Linked DNA regions of Caenorhabditis elegans. The protein of the gene in region 1 interacts with the protein of each later gene in a pairwise test. Each region holds a gene or a part of one and is shown on either strand. Other genes may lie near its edges.

Evidence for each region.
Region 2: the proteins of vab-3 (region 1) and ZK121.2 interact in a two-hybrid assay, tested with the Caenorhabditis elegans proteins (2 studies listed by BioGRID).

Annotation. Positions count from the first base shown.
Region 1 is NC_003284.9:10,497,851-10,501,606, forward strand, and holds the start of vab-3 (Paired box protein 6 homolog), read left to right. Parts: upstream 1-2,039; 5' UTR 2,040-2,255; intron 2,256-2,387; exon of another isoform or gene 2,388-2,443; intron 2,444-3,237; exon of another isoform or gene 3,238-3,344; intron 3,345-3,756.
Region 2 is NC_003281.10:5,340,060-5,343,815, reverse strand, and holds the start of ZK121.2 (R3H domain-containing protein), read right to left. Parts: upstream 2,135-3,756; 5' UTR 2,127-2,134; coding exon 1,923-2,126; intron 1,540-1,922; coding exon 1,208-1,539; intron 1,164-1,207; coding exon 1,023-1,163; intron 905-1,022; coding exon 496-904; intron 219-495; coding exon 1-218.

The sequences.
Region 1 (3,756 bases):
ATGAAGTACGGAACAAAGCATTCATTTTTACAAAAAAACCAAAGAAACAAATAAATCCATACAAATAAAACAACTAAAATTCACGTTTTTGTGGTTAATTGGAATTAAAAAAATTACAACATTTTGGGGAGAACGAAACCCATAAGTACCAAAGTTTCTACTGTTATAAACATTATTCAACATTTTTATATGTTTTAGTAGTAAAAACTTCAAATCGTTCCTTTTCAGCAGATTTGGAGCTTTGTGTTGGAGTTTTTGGTGTTTGACCTTTAGAATATTTATTACAGAGTTTTAATAAATCAAATTGTCTATTGTATGTAGTTTTTTTTTTGGTTTTACATTTACTGATTATTAGATTAAAATTAAATAATTCAATTTTGAAAATTCAGAAAAATAGTTTTGACATCCTCTACTACCTTTTTTTCTCATTTTATCTTTAAAAAATTAATTCAGGGCGATCATTCCCGCCAAATACGGACATGAATCCCATTTGGTTACCAAAAAAGTGCGGCGGCTGTCGTTGAAAATAAAAAAATCCAAAAAGTGGGAAAACGACATCTTCTGTTCACTCATGCGTACAGAATCTCCAAAAACATTTCGCCGTATTCATTTTTGGCGTGATGTACCACATATGACTTGGTCCAGATAAAGGTACTGGTGTAAATTTGTCTGTTGTGTAATCGGCATTTGACGCTAGCTTCTTGCCCAAGTTTGGCAAAAAATTTCAACTTGAATCACAACACGATAAGCTTGGTTTGGACTGTGTTTAAGTTTACGCCAAGTTTGATCCAAATAACAGTTTTTAAATAATATTTTTTTTAATTTTTGGGAAAAACGCAGGTAACGCCAAATGCCAAGTATAATTATTTTTAGACAACCGTCTAAAATTTGGAAAATATATTTTTAATACAAAAAATCTTACTCCGAGATTGATAAATGTGGAAATTTTGTAAACTACGATAAAAAATGCAAATTATTCTTAGTGTGTCAATAAAATTTTTCTATTTACTTTTCACAGTCCCAGTACTTGTTTCCTGCCAGATTTTCTCAAATAGGACTGACACCTGAAGCGGAATAATTTGCTATTTGACTTCCGAGCCCTCGAATTCTGGCGGGCGGTCCAACAAGAAGAACCCTCAATATTCCGTTAGTTATTTGTCGTCTCTGAAGACTTTATTGTCGGATGCAGCGATACCGTAGTCCGAAGAAAAGAATAGAAGAAACTGACAATGAATGGAGAAGTGGAGTAAAGCCAGCTACAAGCAGGGCAGAAAATATAAATGAATAAGTAAAGAAATCAGTTACAGAAAAGTGACATTAAATTTTTTCCACGTATCAAATTATGAAAATTATTCATAGCGAGGTTTTTTAAATGTTTAATTTGCAGTTACACTGCTTGAATCCGAATATCGATGCGGTTGCATTAATATTTATGTATAAGGAATCATCAAAAATAAAAGCAGTAGCTGATTAAAACTTATTTTTAAATCAGATATGTGGTGCATCTCCTTTTCAGAAACCAAGTAGTTTTGTTCGATCTGTTAAATTCTGTTAATCACAATGGTTCAGAATGTCTGTAAACATGCTTAGAAAACTAATGAGGTCGGTGGAGCAGAAAGTCTGTGAAAACTTCTAATTGGAATCAGGTGCTGGCAGTGAAATCACAAAATATCTTGGTCTGTACACCGGGCAAGAGCATGCCTACACCCCGCGAGTTTGGCATGGCTAATCCCTTGTTTGACAGATGTTCAGGGGGAAGGAGCTACCACTGAATAGTTTCCACGTGAGTAGAAATTGATTCATGTTCATAACATTGATGGCAATGTATTCGAGAAACAATGCCCATCTGCCACAAGTTGCAAAAGGTAGATTGTGAATAAAGCTGCGCATAATCCATAGAGAATATGAATGAAAACTCCGCCCATTTCAAAGAAGACGATTGGCCCGAGAATAGAAGCAAAAAGTCAGCGGTGTCCTAGGTGAGACAACGGAGAAAACGTGTCCGGGCGCGGCTCTTTTCAATTGTGGACCGAGAGGGAGAGACGTCGACGTCTTCTTTTTATGTCACACTATATCGTTGAAATAGTTTCGCGCTTTTTTGTTCTGTCCCCCGAAAGTTTGTTGGACAGTTAGATACTGAGGATCTCTTATTCTAACACTTCCAATATCTACACTTACACTAAATTTTACGCTACACAACACCAAAATCCGCGAGTATTCAAATAGTGACGGTCGAGTTGACAAAAGTGAACGTGGTGAGTTAAACTCTTGTTGGGTAATGAGTTAGCAGAAAATCAATAAGATGGCGAGCACTTTCAGATGGGCGTGCTAATGAGGTGGGCATGGGCTAGAAGTAAGAACTACCCTTCTTCGTCGGCATATATTTTCTCATTTCAGTCTGTTGCCTTTCTGCTGATTATCATTAGACTTTCTTGTTGAGTAGATAAATTTTGATGCCTCATTGACAATCATAAATAATAGAGAAACAATCGATATTGTCATAATGATAACAAACTAAGTAGGAATAATGTAGAACTGGTTATATTTTGAATAATTTCAAAACTCTTTGGTCTTTAGGCTAAATATAGAAACCGAGTCCTTCTCGAAACATTGATGTCGTGGGCTGCTATCATGTGTCTCCTATGACTTCAAACTTTTCTGAAATTACGTTACCTAATTTTTTTGAGCTTTCATGTTGTATCACAAAAATTTTTCATTCTGCTATAATTTTTCACAGATAATTGTTTGGTTCTAAATTCTGGGCAAAGTTTCAGAATATATTTTGAACTTTAGAACTGAATTCTTGAGCATTTCTGATTTAAAAAATCTTTTTGAACTTTTGCTACAACTTCTTTTCTCTACCATAAAATGTTTTCAATCTTGTTCGATGCTTCTACAAAAACTCCAACATCAGGAGCCATGCTTTCTCCTCCCACTTATGTTATTCATTGTGTATGTACATCCGCATGTGTCCATCATTGACTCCAAATTCCATTAGCCATCTACCGTATCTGGATTTCCGGTGTGTGACGCCGACTCCATGGCCAACACAGAATCATCGTAATTCTCCCCGCAATCTACATATCGCTACTCCAATTTTCGAATTTTGCCCCGTGTTGCAATTCCAATGCATTCAATCAAATTTAAAAGTTTTGATGATTTGTCTACTCATTTTTCCCACCCGTTCCGTTTTCTCCATGTTCAACATTTTTGTCGCCACCACCATCACTGAGAGGGGTTTTTGTAATTGGCTTGAATTGACACCCATTAACCGGCACACCCGCTGTTTGGAAGATGTCATAACGAAAACGTCGTTTGATGGAGGTCTTTGTCCGCGCCTTGTTTCCCTGTCCCTATAGTTGAAGGTGTTCGCCATCAGGCACCACTACTTTTTTGGCGCCCCTCTCTTTTTCTCTCTCGTCAGTGTCAAACGAGTAGTTGAAAATTGTGCTATTCCAAATTACATGGAGCCCCACTCCTCTGACCCGAAAGCCTTTCCATCAAATTTCGTTTTAGTAGATCTTTTTAACTTGTCATTATGCTCCTTTGGATAAACGATTTGGCTCACAGGCAAAGCATTTTCAACTGTGGGGACATTCCGGAAACACTTAGCCAATTGATAATGACAGTCCATCGATGAGTTATAAGATATGTTATCAGATGTACAAATCTGACACCCATACAACAGTCCTCACCTCGCTCTCGTCGTCATTCAGTTGCCAAAATCGTCATGCCTACTTCCAATTATGCAACTTT
Region 2 (3,756 bases), on another chromosome or scaffold:
GAGCACATTCCAGGCTCTTGGTAGTTTGATGATGGCATTGACATTTCTTCGAATACCTGATAGCCTGTATAGTTGGAGGTTGGAGGTTGTTGGATGTGAGCGTGGTGGTGGTGGTGATGAACCATCACTGATGGAGGTGTTCCACAAACTACTGGCACACTTTGCTCGTAACAGCCATGTGATATTCCGTTTGCCATTCCTCCGAAGCTCTCTGCTTTCTGGAAAATTTAGAGGTTAGAGTTTGAGAAGCGTTTTTTGCGCCCACGGCATGTGATCTTAAATTTTTCGAAACTCGGAAACTTATGGAAACTTATGAAATGTATGAGAGATACTCGTAAATCGACATGGCTGAAGCTCACAGATATTGACGGCCACACGTTCAATCTCAATCATATATTGATTCAAAATCTTGTAGCTTAGCGATCGTGAGAAAGTAAAACTCGACGCTGTTTCTTTTTTGAAAAATCGATTTTTCAGGCGAACTCTGATACTCACCCTCATCATTGGATGTTTTCCAGTGCACAAATAACTATTATTGGAGCAATCAAATGATCTTTGCGGTGCCCATTGATGTCCCTGTGGTCCACTCATTGGTGCAGTAACCATTGATTGTTGTGGGCAGTTGAGTGAAAGTTGTCGCATCGGAAGACCTCGAACATGATGTGGAGATTGAGGTTGAATAACTGATGGTCCAGTGACTGCTGCCACGTCAAATGATTGTGCCCTTCGCATCATGAGTAGATCATGATTAAGACTTGCTTGACTTCCATATTGACTCGTCGAATGATCACCGAATGATTCCATATGGTGAAGTTCCTTGCGGGATCCGCAAGTGTTTTGTCGTTTCAGTCGGTCTTCTACGTAATTATCGTGCCGGATGTAGTCGGTGAAGTTGTCATCAGGACTGGAAATTTGTTACTTTTCTAGTTAAAATCTGACAAGACCAAATAAAGGGGCTAAACTAAAACAGACAAAATATTATGATTTTCATGATACATACATCCGAAAATTAATCAACTCACATTTTGGTTTTCTCTGACTTGTTCACAACAATATCGGTCTGCTTATTCGTAACATTATGATCAAGACCAAACCACGCGGCACACCTGTGAAGAAGCATTCGGTGATAGGATGATGGAAGCTCGAATCTTTTCGATTGTGTGCTGAAAATTATCAATTTCAGACTGAAATTTTAACAAAAACGAACCTATCATCTAAAATAAGTTCTTTGAGTTGTTTTTCGAACTCCAGAAGCTGCTTCCGATCTTCTTCACTCTTGTGTAACGTGCGATCCACAAAATTCCTTAGATCAATGCCACTTCTGTCCGAGTACTCGGTTCCTGTGGACTCTCTGCTTAACGATTTCGATGTGGACCACAGTTTATTCTGTGCGAGACCCGGTGGGCGGAGTTTTGACACGTCACTGCTTTCTGCTGGCTTCTCCTCTTCTTTGCCTTCTTCTGGATGCTCTTCTATGCATGGGACCGTAGTATCCGAGTTTTCTGATGGGCTATCAGAAATTGACAGGAGAGATATTGGCTAAAAATTAAAAAATTTCAGTCGAAAACGACCAGATTTTGTCTATAAACTTACAAACATTCTTCGAAATTGGGTGAAAAATATGAATTTCAGCAGACTTCCTAACAGGAACTATTTCAGTTTTCAGCGCGGCCTATGACACAAAATCGGATCATCCTCTGATGATTCACAAGAGAGTGAGCTGATCAATATGATAATAAAATAATGTATTCTCCAAGCAGCCGACATTTTACGGGTTAGTGATAACTTTTAGCCGGCTTCAAGAAGTTGTGTACCTTAGCAGCATACACCATACGGGACAAGAACTACATCAGCAACGGCACCCATATTCGAAGTCCGACACTTCGCGGGACAATTTCCCACCTTCCCTTGAAATTGCTCACCTCTTCAATTGTTGCATTCTGTTTTGAAAGTCGTCTTCGAACACTTCCATTCCTCCGAACTCCCTCACTTTCTGTAGCTGGCACCGTCGTCACATTCATTGTCATTATTACCGTAGTCGATCGTCGCCGATCATCTTGTTTTGCGTCTTCAACATCGTCAAGCTCTGAATTATTCTCTTCTGAAACGTCGTTTTCGGTTGACATTTACACCTGAAAATTTGGTTTTTGTTGGAAGCACAGAAAAAGCAGAGGATGAGAATTTAAAAAAATAGGATTCAAGAAGTAGTACTACCAAAAAAGAGCAGAGTTTGCATGAAAATGGAGCAGTGGGTAAGCTTCAGCTGCTTTAGAGTCTCCGCCCACGAATGTCCTTCTCCCCCATTCAATGCTAAGCCCCGCCTTTTGAGAACCAAAAAACGAGACGAAATTTCGCAATAAAAAACATAAAAATGAATATAAATACATAATAGGCCTATTTTTTGAAAAGGTATAATAGTTCGAATAAGAAAAAGAAGAAGGTATTTAAAAATTAAAAGAATTTCCAAGCTTTTATCTATGCAGAGATAAGAGATACCAAATAAATGTAAACAAAGAAATCTGAGGTGAAGCAGAGGTTCAAAGAAAACGTGGAGGAAGCAAGAAGGGAGGAAGTTAAAGCCCGTTATAATTCAATTTGCGGGTGTTTCTTGCGTATTCTTGCAATAAAAATAAAAATTCTATTGCGAGTAATTCAAAAAAAAATTCGGTATTTCCACTTTTATGTATCTTCTCGTCTAATTGTAAGTTACATAACGTCAATTTTACAACTGTGGGTCTTGTAACGGAATCTCTCGTTTATTATAGCTTAAAAGTGCATTGAAACATGAAAATTAACATTTCAAACTGAACTCCAGTCTTCGCGGTGGGACCCAAAATTTGTTGAACCTAGGCAAAATTAGTAGCTTATAGAGTTCAAAAAATTAAATTTAAAATGACTCTTCGAATTACAGTAATCTAGTTTTTCCAATCATGTCCTACTTCCTACCGTATGACAACTTTATCACCAATTTTCTATGAAACAGGCAACTAAATAAGCATGAATTAACAACTAAATATCACTGATAATATGCAGTTTCCATCCATTTTCTCAAACATTTCCAATTATTTCTGCGAAAAGCTCAAAATCAGATCAAAATCATTTTCAAGGGGGATTTGTAGGGGATTAGAAACTGCCAAATAATGTGTTTTTGTGGTGGCTCACGGGTGGGAGTGCTCATCTTGAATAATAATGGGTGGGAGGAAATTGAGGTGAGGTTTCCTAACGGAAATTGACTTTTAGAACTTTTTCGGTATGAATCTCTGGAAAATATAGTGCAAACGTAGTTCTACATCCAAAAACTTGATAACTTGAAAGAATTGTAAAATTCTTAGAATTTTTATTTGAAAATTATAAATCTCTTTTGAAAACTTTCAATAAAAAGATACTAACGAGCGGAATTCAGAATACCGTATTTCTTCTATTAATATGGCCTCCCTATTAGACTTGCACTCCCTATTAGTATTGCACCTTTGAATTTTGAGATTTTTACAACATTTTTTGCCTACTTTGCAACAAATTTTTGGTAAAATTTCTATGGAATTGAAGTTATTGTACCTTTTTGTTGCAATTGCAATCAAATTTTCTGAATTTTTACATAAGATACGAGTTTTTTTCAGAAAAAAATAGTAAGCTCAAAGTCAGAAAAATGTTCTGAAAATTAGTATTGCACTCCCTAATAGTCTTGCACTCCCTATTAGTATTGCAAGCGGGAAGACCATCGAAAAATAGTATTGCAGCCATATTAATAGAAGAAAT